Linked DNA regions of Oryctolagus cuniculus. The protein of the gene in region 2 interacts with the protein of the main gene of each other region in a biochemical or structural test. Links are inferred from orthologs where the notes say so. Each region holds a gene or a part of one and is shown on either strand. Other genes may lie near its edges.

Region 1 (4,080 bases), on a different chromosome or scaffold from region 2:
TTCCCCAAGCTGACAGTGAACCCATCCTGCTGCTGCTCAGGCCAAAAGCCTCAGCGTATCACGATGTGGTTCCCCTTCTCAAACGTGTCCCATCCGTTCAGATTCTGTTGACTCTACCTTCCAAAAAAAAAAAAAATCAGGCACTGCTCACCACCTCTACTGCCATCTGCTCCACCCACAGGCGGCCCCGAAGGTCGCCCACTTCAGCCTTGCCCGGCTCCCTCCTCCTCATCACCGCGGCTAGTGAGCTCACTAACAAACAGCTGTGTGGCCCCGGGTTCAGAAGCCCCCTGCCCCCCACACTCCCAACTCGAAAGAAAAAACAATTCGTACCCCTACCTGCAGATAGGCGGCCGCCCCTGACCCAGCGCCTCTCCTGCCTGCACACGGCCCCTTGCTTCCCTCCGCAGGGCCTTCGCACTTCCTGTTCCCTCTGCCCAAGTGCAGCTCATTCACACCTCACTCAGGTCTTTGCGGAAACGCTCCCTTCAGGGACCACCTCCCCACTGCACTGACGCCTGACACAGACGCACATCTGCTTACTGTCCCCCTCCCAGGCCAGGCAGGTGGAGGCGGAAGTTCCGAGAGAGCAGGGCTTGGCTCCACTTGGTCCTCTATCGCTGTCCCAGAACCGGAACCACGTCTAGCACGTTTGCACACGCGCCAGTGCTGAGAGTAACTCAACCCCCTGACGAAGGGAACCAACAACAAGTATCGTTTACAACGTTCGGTGAGCCCGCACTGGGAGTCAGCACACCTCTTATCAGAATTCTGGAATGCAACCAGACAGCGCTCCCCAGCCCCCCAATATCAGCTCCACAATGCAGACGGGTCTGCCCTCACATGAAACGGGGTTAGTAAGAGTAACGACAAGGAAACGCAAGCGTGCGTTAGGCACTCAGGGCTGCAGACACGTTGCAATGCTTTGCTGCACCGTCCAGAACAAGTCCAGGTCACAGCCCTCGTACCCGGCCCACGCAGACCTCAATTCTTCCGGAAACACCTACAGGCCTTTGCTCCCGCTTACTCCGGGCTCTCGCTCAGGCAGACGAAGGACAAGCAGAACGCAGCGGGCTACGAATCCAGCACCCTGCGGAGAGACGCCTGCAAGGCAGCGTCTGCAGATCCAGCACCCGCGAGGCCAGGAGCCCCTCGAGGGCCCATTCGGGCCGACCCCGCGACCCCCTCATCCTACAGGGGGCTCCTACTTCCCCTCCCCCGACCTGCGGCGGTGCGCGGGGACGGAGGGCACGGGCCGGGGACCCCGTGTGCCGCCGGCAAGCTTTCAATTCAGCAAACCGGGAGGAGTTACGCGGCAGCTCCGCGGGCCTCCCCGGACGTCCGTTAGAAACGGACCGGGACGCGTAAACCGCACGCCGCGCTGGACACCGCCGGCCGGTCGGCCGACACGCACCGGCCCCTGTCTGTCCCCCGAGGGGCGCGGCCGTGCGGGTAACGAGGACCTCACACGGTCCCGATACCGCTGCTGCCGGCTCCGGCCCGCACAGGCTCCCCCGGCTGCTGTCCCCGCCGGGAGCCACACGCGCGCACGGCTCTGTCACTTCCTCCGCCGCCCCTACCTCACCACCACCACCACTGCGGCGTGAACCCCAAACCCCCAGGACTCACGCCGGACGCCCCTCAGGTGCGTCTCCCCGGGCGCCCGGCGCCGAGGGAATGCGCCGCCGCGGCTCTGCCCGATCCCGCCCGCCCCAGCCGGCGCCCCTCGTCCCGGCTCCCACTCGCAGAGCTGCCCCCCACGGTCTACCCACCGGCTGACCCTCGCCTCCGACGCAGAGGCGCGGTGTCCTTCCCAGCGCTCAGCCGTTAGGATTCAAAGGTTTTTCATTTTAAATAGGAGTTAAACCCTCCAACCCGAAAGCTGATTGGCCTGAGCTACAGCGAGTCACTTTGTGATTGGCTCACAACAAGCACGGCGGCGCAGACGGCGCGCAGGCGCACTTGCCCCGTGAGACCCCGGAAGTGGGGGAGCCAACGGCCCGTCCGGCCAGTGCCCGTTCTAACCCCCGCGCTGCTCTCTGGGATCAGGCATTTGCCCATGAGACTACAGCCCCTTGGAGTCAGGAATGTCCCATAGGAGATAAAGTCGGAATTGGCGAAGGAAGCGCTCGAACGTGCCAGTAAGTAAGATGGCGAGAAGCACAAGGGAGATTGGGACCCATCGATAACGCAGCGCTCGGCGTGGCGCCCTTCGCGCGTGCGCAGCAAACGTGCGCCCGGAGCGATCGATTGGGCAGGATTCGCGCCTCCATTTTTCTCGGAGAGAGCGGGAGAGCGAGAGAGCCGGATCTGCGGGTATGGGGGTCCGGGGATACGGCAGGAGTGGCTGGGGTGGTCGTCTGGGCCCTTTAGTGGACCACCCGAAGGGCCGGGGCGAGGCGGGAAGGTCGAGAGTGAGCGAGGTGGCGGGCGCCCCGAGCTGGCGCCCCGAGTTGCGGGGTGGGCCTGCACACCCTTTCCCCTTCCCCAGGGCCTCGCTCCCAGCCCGACCCCAGCTCGAGGTCGCCTCTGCGCCACCTGGCCCCTCTGACACCGTGGCGGGTCGGGTTCTTCTGCCCTCGTGCCTCAGTGTCCTCACCTGCAAACTGGGCCGGTGCGGCGGCTTGACCGACCCTTTCGCCTTTTTGTTCCTTTATGCCCTTCCTACCCGGCACGATGCGCGCCTGCAAGCGTGGAGACGGGACAGGGTGGTGGTCGCGTCCCGGGGGAGTTGCTCGGCCACCCTTGCACTGGAGCGGGCGTCCCGACCCCTGTGAGCCCGCTGCGTCGGCTCCGTTGGGTCCCGGCGTCGCCTGCACGGGCGTGGGCCTTTACAGAGTGCCCGCCCCGTATCCGACAGTTAACCCGCGCATCAGGAAGCACTGGTGCTGTAGGGCCCACCGGTAGTTAGAACTCGGGCTCTGAAGTCGCTCTTATTTTCATTACAGTTACAGACACCTGCAGCCTTCCCGTGTCTGCCCAGACATGCGTATGCGTACAGATATTCGTATTTAATTTACTTCCTACCTGCTGATTCACTCCCCAGAAGCCCACAGCAGCTTGGCTAAGCCAGGCCAGGGCCAGCCTCGGAGAATTCTGTGTGTGGGTGGCACAGGCCCGCAGGAAGCTGGCGGCAGCAGCCCCGGGACTCGACCCGCACTCGGACATCGGATGCCCTGGGGCGTCCTAGCCGTTAGGTCCAGTCCTAGCCCTAGACACTGATTCGTCAGATTATCTGGGGAAGTCCACCAGCTAGCGTTCTTGTTTGTATAAACCAGGGGCCATCATCTAGTTCTACATTTAACTAACATTGAAGGAAACTTGGGTACTCGTGAATCAGTCTGGATCTTTATATCGTTTCTATTTTTATAGTTGTCTTTGCTGTATCTCTTCTCGGAAAGGCTTAGTAAGTAGCTCACCTTTAAATCACACAATTAGTCACAAGCGCACGTGCCCTAAAGCAGGTGTTAAGACTGAAGGTAACAGACACGGGCAAACGCGGCTCAGCTGATGGAAACTAACCTAGACATTGGACAGAAGAGCAGTTGTCTTGCCTGTTGCAAGCACGGGTCAGTGTTGACCAGAGAAATGGAAGACTCTGGGGTACCCGTGCAGAGGAGAACCGGTGAGGGGTCCCACTGCACGTGGTGGCCGGCGTGAGCGATTCCTGGGTGCCGGGGCTGTACCCAGTGCTTGCCATGCAGCTTATGCCGTCTTCTCTTAGTTACCACCTGCGGAAGCTGGCTCAGGGGAGTGATGGCCCTGACCCGAGATTCTGCAGCCGCAGAGCAGGGATTTACAGCCTGAGGGAGACCCTGCGTGGCGGCTGACTGAGCGGTGCGTCACCGTCCACCTGTTTTCTTGCAGCTGGCAGGGACGCTGTCCTCACCCCCAGGATGTACAGAACCAAAGTGGGCCTGAAGGACCGCCAGCAGCTGTACAAGCTCATCATCAGCCAGCTGCTCTATGACGGCTACATCAGCATCGCCAACGGCCTCATCAACGAGATCAAGCCGCAGTCGGTCTGTGCGCCCTCCGAGCAGCTCCTGCATCTCATCAAACTAGGTAGCTCGGGAATCC
Region 2 (4,021 bases):
CTCCGGGCCCCCAGAACATGTAGTTGAACTCAGCCTCTTGACATCAGTTTCTGTAATCCTTGCATCAGTGTAGGGAGTAACTGCTTGAGTAACTACAAAGGTATTTCAAAACTTCAGTGCAATTTGGTTCAGTTATTTTCATTCAGATGCCATCACCGTTCAGGAAGATTAATCACTGGGACCCACTGATCCATGTAGCGACTCTCCCGGCAGAAACAAATAAGTTGGCTTAAGGCAGGATCCTTCCATTGCGATGAATGTGGATTCTGGGGGGAGAGGGGGGAGATAAGAGACATAAATTTATTGCTAAAAAATAAAAACAAAACAGCATTTGCTTACAAGTACTCTACTCTTGATGGGAAGACATTTGAACATTCTATATTGTGGCTGCAAGGCACAGGGACAAGTTACATGCACAATAAATAAAGTTTCTTCTAGGTAACTGGGATACGATCTCAGCGACGTCTAAAATGTGCAGCCAGCACTGAGCCACACCTGTTTGCACGGTACTGGCTCAGTTTTGCATGACAGTTATCACTCACAGATTTGCTCTACCAAAGCTGTACCCTGGCAGAGCCCTGGGAGAAGCAAGACTGAGAAGCAGTTCCAGGCTGTGCACACAATGGGAGCTACCCAGCAGCTGGCAGAATTTGCCACCTGTTATCTTCCCAAAAGACAGAACAGTACTTGTCAGGAGCAGCAAAATCATTAAGCTTCACTACACCAGTCAAAAAAGACAGATTTCAAATGCCTGCACATTTACCTCGGAACACATAAGGTACCTAGTCCCAAAGGTTTGCATCACAGCAAGGAAAAGGTCCATTTAAAAAAATGCAAGATTGTATATTAAAAAAAAAATTCCACTCTATCCTCTTAATGTATTTCTAGGGAATTAATAAGTTCTGTCTCCTACACCACTTCTATTTTTAGCTTTAACTGGCAGAGAATAAGCTGACTCCTTAATGAGGGGTGAGCCAGGAATTTATTTGGCTTTATCTAATCTGCCCAGCTAAAGGAATTAGTCACGGGAGGTAGTGCAGATGTAGGTAGGGAGTAGCTGGGCTGACTGCTGACTCACAGGGATCTCTTCCGCTGCTGGCTGCCTCCAACGTGCTCAGACATGTTCTTTAGCAGAGAAAATCGTGATGATGAAACTAGTCCATCCCGGCTGAAAGTCCGCCTCACTCCTCAGTGGGCCAAAGGCGGCCAGGCTCCTGACCCCCGCCCCCGCCCGGGCTGCAGGCAGCCGACTCTGGACTCCCTCCCTTCCAGGGCTGCGGCCCGGCCCGGCCCGGCCCGCAGTCCCCCAGGCCCTTACCGTCACCAGCACGCAGTGCAGGTCCGGCGGTTGCGCGGCGCCCTCGCTGGCCGCCGGGCTGGCGTCGGTCTCCAGGAGCAGGAGCTTCGCCAGCCGGCCCGGGTTGCTGACGCGCAGGATGTTAATGTCGTTCTCGCAACAGAACGCCTGGATCAGGGTGAAGTGGATCTGCAGCGCCACATCCCTGTCGTCGTCCTCGTCCGCCGCCAGCAGGCACAGCACCACGTTATCCGGGTCCCTGCGGGCAGCGCGCGGGGCCGGTGAGCACACGGGCGCCACCGGCCCGCGTGGGCGCCTGACACTCCCGCTCGGGTCCCCGGGGTCTGCCCCCCACCCCTCACCACCCGCCGCTCGTCGCAAGGCAGCCTCGGGGACAGATGGAAGGCGGCCGGAAGCGGCGCCGCAGGGCGAGGGGAGCGCCCGGGAGCGCGACCCCGGCGGGCTGGGGCGGCCAGGGGCACCAGGGGACAGCGGGGGCCCCACTTACACGTTGAGCAGCTTGGCCGCCTCGTACACACCGACGGTGATGGTGCGCTGACTCAGGGCTTTGCTCAGCACCTCCTCCAGGGCATCCCCCACCTTGTCCATCCTACACGCGGGCAAAGGCGAGGGGGCACGTCAGTCCGTGACCTCGGAGCCGCCGCGGGCCCCTGGCCCCGCACCGCGAGCCTCGACGAGTGCAAGTGCCGCCAAGCACCCCGGCTTTCTGCAAACCCAGGGTCTCCCGCCCCGTCACCCCCACCCCCCTCCTTGACCCTCGGCACGCCCAGAAGCTGGGGTGTCCGGTGAGGAGCCCCGACAGTGCTTCCCGCCACCCTCCCCGGAGGACACTGCCCCCAGACAGCTGCCCTCTGCCAAAGTCTCTGGGAGCGGCGGCCGGGCTGGGGGCACGCGCCTTGAGGGTCCCTGAGGGAGCGAGGGCTGGAGGTGCCCTGTGCAAACTTTGCCGCCCGCTCGCCCCTCCACTCTCCGCAATCCGGGTGCAGGGAGCTGCGCGGGCAGGGCGCGAGGAGTTCAGGTCGCAGACGCCAGCAGCCGACTTACCTTTCGGTCTTCTGCTCTCCAGCCGAGAATTCCTCCAAAGTCATATTGCAACTGCAGGTCCCTCACAGAGAGAGCGCGCGGCGTGCGGGCGGCTCCTGCCACCGTGGGCGCGCGGGCGCCTGCTCCCCGTACTCGCTCCCAGGCTCTGGTGCAGTCCGGCCGCCCCTCTTCCGTCCGGGCTCCACCTCCAGCGCCTGCAGCCACCGCGCCGTCCTCTGCTCCCGCCCGCCGGCTCTCGGCCCCTGGTTTCGCCGAGGACCGCGACACCACGACCGCAAGCTGCCACACAGCCACTGCAGGACAAAGGGCCCCGGGGTTATCCGACCAGCCCCCAGCCAACCACTTCGTGCCTTATTTGCATACGGCACGACCATTGGGCTATGCAATCAGCCTGGTTTGGGCAATCCGAACCCGGCTCCTGGAACCAGGCTATTAGGAGCGGAAGGGGGCGGAGTCACGCGGGAGGCGAGCGTAGGGGACTGGGGCGGTCGGGGCGCAGGTGGGCGGGGCCGCGAGCTGGCTGTTCCGCGGTTGGTGGGGCGGGGGCGGGCCGAGGGCTTTGTCGCGGCGGGAGGCTGAGGCCGGTTTGCTGAGTGTTTTTCTAGTTGGTGCACATATTTAAATTATCGTTTCATGTCTTTTGTTTTCAGGGTTAATGCACCCAAGTGCGGTAATTATTACTAAGCTGGTTACATTTAAAAAAAGAAAATAGTGTGTCCAAACCTGTAGGGCAAAGTTTACCTCAGCAGTGTTGTTTATCAAAGGCTAGCTAGGCGAAGCTGCTTATTAGTCCTAGTAGTATTTCGGTGCCCTGTTGGCTGGTTTGATTTATTTTTAGAAGGTTACAAGGGTTGGAAGCTCAATAAAGAAAAACCAACACATTTGTGTTCAGGGATGGCAGAGAACCAAGCTGGCGTCTTTTCCCGCAGAAAGCAGAGAGGCTACCGAACCCGCCCAGTGGGACTGTGGAACTCCAGGGCTGGTTGGGATCTGTGGGGAGCTGGTGACCACATGTGTGAGTCGCTGCCTGACAGCCCACGGTCACCTTTCTCAAAGAGCCCCTCGCAGAGAAGGCGCCTTCTGCACTGACACCCGGCGCGGGAGACACGCATCCCACGCCCACGCGAGCTGCCAGTCTAAATTCAAAATTCTGTCTCCGTGTGCCCTCGGCTTCCCTTCATAAAGCAAGTGAGTGTGTCCCTACCTTCCCCAGGCAGCCTATGATCTCACCGTGAATTATTGATGTTAGATGCTGAATCATGAAGCTGTAGCTATAGGTCATTTTAGTCATATGCTACAATCTCACCTTTGGGATAATGGCAACTTGGAGGTGGAAAGCAGACTTTTCTAACTGCACACTTCTGGAAAACAAACTTTAATGTGTAGGCTTTCACTGAACAGTTCAAAAATCCCTTTCTTTGTTTTTTGAGTTTGTGCAATAAATGCAAAAACAGTTCTTAAATTTACTGAAGTCACCCAACCTGGTGGAAATGCCTTCCAAATGCTTGCGTTCAAAAGAGTGCTTACATTATTAAGGTCACTCTACAGTCGAAGGTCACAGAAGTAAATTTTTGCAAGGGTCCCTGGGAGTTCTGTACCCTTTTATTTGTATCATTCTGCACAAATTATTCTCCAGCTCTCTTAATTTAATAGAAAAAG
Region 3 (4,124 bases), on a different chromosome or scaffold from region 2:
TAATTTGGGAAACCAAAATTTAATGATTCTAACAAATTTACTTGTAGCTACACAATTTTATATGCAACATTTCATCCCTTAAGATTACAGAATTTTGCTTTCTAAACTAAATTACATGTCAACAGTTCTAACCAGCAGGGCTAACAGCCCTCCATAGCTTAAAACAAACAGGTGGGAAAAAATCCCTAACCCATGGAGTTTTAAAATTCCAGCCAATTCTAATTAGAAAAACCTGGAACACATTTGACAGGTCCAGTGTTGACAAGAAGACACAGGTTTCTCATTAAACTTTGTTTTAATGGGTCTCAAAATTCTGTGACAGATTTTTGGTCAAGTTGTTTCCATTAAAAAGTACTGATTTTAAAAACTAATAACTTAAAACTGCCACGCACAAAAAAAATGGTCCACAAAACATTCTCCTTTCCTTCTGAAGGTTTTACGATGCATTGTTATCATTAACCAGTCTTTTACTATTAAACTTAAATGGCCAATTGAGACAAACAGTTCTGAGACCGTTCTTCCACCACTGATTAAGACTGGGGTGGCAGGTATTAGGGGTAATATTCATTTAGCCTTCTGAGCTTTCTGGGCAGACTTGGTGACCTTGCCAGCTCCAGCAGCCTTCTTGTCCACTGCTTTGATCACACCCACAGCAACCGTCTGTCTCATATCACGGACAGCGAAACGACCTATTAAAACAAGTATTGAGTTGCCATGAGACACATAGTTCACAGAAGCAATTGTTAATCTTTAGTACAACTTGTAATAGCAATAAAAAAAAAAATCCTTACCCAGAGGAGGATAGTCAGAGAAGCTCTCAACACACATGGGCTTGCCGGGAACCATATCAACAATGGCAGCATCACCAGATTTCAAGAATTTAGGGCCATCTTCCAACTTCTTTCCAGAACGACGATCAATCTTTTCCTTCAGCTCAGCAAACTTGCAAGCAATGTGAGCTGTGTGACAATCCAGTACAGGGGCATACCCAGCACTGATCTGACCTGGATGGTTCAGGATGATCACCTGGGAAAAAAAGGATATGCATTTTAGTGCTTCTCAAACTGAACTGTGGTAACAGCTAGAAATGCTAACTCCCCTGATGTGATAACACTTCATACATGCATCAGATTGCTTACCCCCTTGAGTATGCATGAACATTGTCAATTAACAGATCATTTTAAATTGTTACCTGAGCAGTGAAGCCAGCTGCTTCCATTGGTGGGTCATTTTTGCTGTCACCAGCAACGTTGCCACGACGAACATCTTTGACAGACACGTTCTTGACATTGAAGCCCACATTGTCCCCAGGAAGAGCTTCACTCAAAGCTTCATGGTGCATTTCGACGGACTTGACTTCAGTTGTGACATTGACTGGAGCAAAAGTTACCACCATGCCAGGTTTGAGAACACCAGTCTCCACTCGGCCCACAGGGACAGTGCCAATACCTAAAATATTTGCAGATTACCAAAGAGTTATTGAGGGCCAAAGATTTTTCACCTGTTCCAATTCAAGTTATATTCTGATGTTACATTAATACCCAACTTACCACCAATTTTGTAGACATCCTGTAGGGGCAGACGCAGAGGCTTGTCAGTTGGTCTAGTTGGTGGAAGGATGCAGTCCAGGGCTTCAAGCAGTGTGGTTCCACTGGCATTGCCATCTTTGCGGGTGACTTTCCATCCCTTGAACCACGGCATCTGAAACACAAGAGAACAATTAATTCTATCACATCACCACTTCCAGCTCTTTAACAAGCACTGTCTTGAAAGTCACTTACATTAGCACTTGGCTCCAGCATGTTGTCACCGTTCCAACCAGAAATTGGCACAAATGCTACTGTGTCAGGGTTGTAGCCAATTTTCTTAATGTAGGTGCTGACTTCCTTAACGATTTCCTCGTATCTCTTCTGGCTGTAGGGTGGCTCAGTGGAATCCATCTTGTTAACACCAACAATTAGCTGTTTCACACCCAGCGTGTAAGCCAGAAGGGCATGCTCACGGGTCTGCCCGTTCTTGGAGATACCAGCTTCAAATTCCCCGACACCAGCAGCAACAATCAGGACGGCACAGTCAGCCTTTAAAGAAATCAAGGACACACACTGTGAACGAAGGTACCTCAAACCTAAGGAGGAACTCACCCACCCCCCGCCTAGAAAACCTTATGTCTACAGTTACTAGTTGCACAAACCTGAGATGTGCCTGTAATCATGTTTTTGATGAAGTCTCTGTGTCCTGGGGCATCAATGATAGTCACGTAATACTTGCTGGTCTCAAATTTCCACAGGGAGATGTCGATGGTGATACCACGCTCACGCTCGGCTTTCAGTTTATCCAAGACCCAGGCATACTTGAAGGAGCCCTTTCCCATCTGTAATTACACAGAGCACTCAGACGGTTACTAAGACACAGCAAAGCTTGAAACCCCATGCCCCCCTCCGCTTGGGAATGCATTCCGCTTCCCAAACTGCTGGGCCTAGGTGGCTCTCCAGTCGATATGGTGGCTCGTGATTTTAACATTCACATTCAGACAACTAATCACTGTTGTCTTTTATAGTCATAGCACTCTCATTTTAGTGGCCAGACTTAATGTAATTCAGCATCTTTCCCTTGCGATACTGGACATACCTCGGCAGCCTCCTTCTCAAATTTTTCAATGGTTCTTTTGTCGATGCCACCACATTTGTAGATCAGATGGCCAGTGGTGGTGGACTTGCCCGAATCTACGTGGCCAATGACGACGATGTTGATGTGAGTCTTTTCCTTTCCCATTTTGGCTTTGATTTAGCGGTGGTTTTCACGACACCTAAAATGGAAAAAGGGGGGGAACCTTTGAACCACTGTCCGAGGGTTGAGACTAAGCCACGTTCAAAACTCAAAAGGGCAAATTCCAAGGAGAATTACATCCAATGCCAAGCTGGCCTAACTCTTCAGTCTCCACCCACCGAGTGAGTTAACTCCATCGCCTAAAAAATCTCCGCCCCCAGCCGAGCCAAGCCGAACTCCAAAGGCCACACGAAGAAGCCAGGTGCCCAGACGGCGCCCTGTACCCCGTGGGGTCGCAGGAAGCGGCGGCCGAAGAGGGGAAGGCTCTTTTCCTTTGTGTGGGTGACTCACCCGCCCGCTCTCCCGGGCCACCGCGTCCTCCATTTTGAGCTCCCTGCAGCGGGGACGGCGAGCGGCCATCTTTTTCCGCGCACGCAACTGGTGCCGAGCGGGCCGGGCTCCGCCGCCCGGGGTGGGGCGGCCGCGGCCCCACCGAGCCGCCCGCCCCACGACCCTCGCCTCTCCCCTCGCCCGGCCTGGGCAGGCGCGGCGCCGTCGGGCCTCGCCCAGGCCGCGCCCGACATGTGCGCCCGGACGGGCGGGCCCCGCCGCTCGCTGTCCCTACGCCGCGCGGCCGCCCTGCCACCCCCTCGGGCCGGACGACGAACGCGCGGGGTAGCCCGCCCGGCCTCGGCGGGCCCATCTCGACGAACAAAAAAAGAGCCGTACCGATCCACGTAAAAACTCAAAGGGCCGAAGGGCCCCGCGAGCGAGGCTAGCCAGGCCGGCGCGAAGGCGAGAGGACTCGCACGCGGCGGCCACGCCAGGCCTCAACTCCAGCACGAGGAAGAGGCTCCTGGAAAACGCGCAAACCTCCAACCCTCCCGCCCCGTTACAGCCCGAAATTCGGAGCCAGGAACCTCGTCAAGAGGCTCAGTGGCATGGCAGTGTCCCCGAGCACGCGAGGGCCCCAGCCCGCTCAAGGCCAGACCCGCGGAAGCCACACCCGACACTCACCTGTGTTCTGGCGGCAAACCCGTTGCGAAAAAGAACGTCCAGGGCGACTACGGCACTTATATACGGTTCTCCCCCACCCTCGGGAAGAGGGCGGAGTCAGCACACGACACCGCTTTCCCAGTTTGCCCCGCGCCACCTCCACTAGGCACCGGTTCAATCGCCGTCCCCTCCCCCAACGCCTCGGGGACCGTGGGCGATGTGCGCTCCGACCACTGACGAGCACACAGCGCCTCGCGCATGCTCGCCTCGGTCCCGGTGACGACGAGCGCGAGGGGTAGGGGGCGGGGACGCGGCGATCTCTCGGTTCTAGGGTAACGGGAGTTTAGCGACGGTCCCTGGGC

Evidence for each region.
Region 1: the proteins of GADD45A (region 2) and AURKA form a complex in vitro, tested with the Homo sapiens proteins (2 studies listed by BioGRID). The link is inferred for Oryctolagus cuniculus from reciprocal best matches to the Homo sapiens genes GADD45A and AURKA.
Region 3: the proteins of GADD45A (region 2) and EEF1A1 form a complex in vitro, tested with the Homo sapiens proteins (2 studies listed by BioGRID). The link is inferred for Oryctolagus cuniculus from reciprocal best matches to the Homo sapiens genes GADD45A and EEF1A1.

Annotation. Positions count from the first base shown.
Region 1 is NC_091442.1:5,219,271-5,223,350, reverse strand, and holds the start of AURKA (aurora kinase A), read right to left. Parts: upstream 2,801-4,080; 5' UTR 2,600-2,800; intron 2,317-2,599; exon of another isoform or gene 1,959-2,316; intron 1,920-1,958; exon of another isoform or gene 1,773-1,919; intron 1,646-1,772; exon of another isoform or gene 1,425-1,645; intron 399-1,424; exon of another isoform or gene 340-398; intron 1-339. Other genes in the region: CSTF1 (cleavage stimulation factor subunit 1), read left to right, coding at 3,897-4,065. UniProt on the Homo sapiens protein: Mitotic serine/threonine kinase that contributes to the regulation of cell cycle progression.
Region 2 is NC_091438.1:104,885,819-104,889,839, forward strand, and holds the start of GADD45A (growth arrest and DNA damage-inducible protein GADD45 alpha), read right to left. Parts: upstream 2,801-4,021; 5' UTR 2,407-2,800; coding exon 2,363-2,406; intron 1,908-2,362; coding exon 1,806-1,907; intron 1,557-1,805; coding exon 1,319-1,556; intron 1,126-1,318; coding exon of another isoform or gene 1,079-1,125; intron 267-1,078; coding exon 153-266; 3' UTR 1-152. UniProt on the Homo sapiens protein: In T-cells, functions as a regulator of p38 MAPKs by inhibiting p88 phosphorylation and activity.
Region 3 is NC_091436.1:99,027,791-99,031,914, reverse strand, and holds EEF1A1 (elongation factor 1-alpha 1), read right to left. Parts: upstream 2,801-4,124; 5' UTR 2,773-2,800; coding exon 2,629-2,772; intron 2,372-2,628; coding exon 2,192-2,371; intron 2,079-2,191; coding exon 1,782-2,078; intron 1,702-1,781; coding exon 1,551-1,701; intron 1,450-1,550; coding exon 1,193-1,449; intron 1,027-1,192; coding exon 792-1,026; intron 690-791; coding exon 565-689; 3' UTR 280-564; downstream 1-279. UniProt on the Homo sapiens protein: Translation elongation factor that catalyzes the GTP-dependent binding of aminoacyl-tRNA (aa-tRNA) to the A-site of ribosomes during the elongation phase of protein synthesis.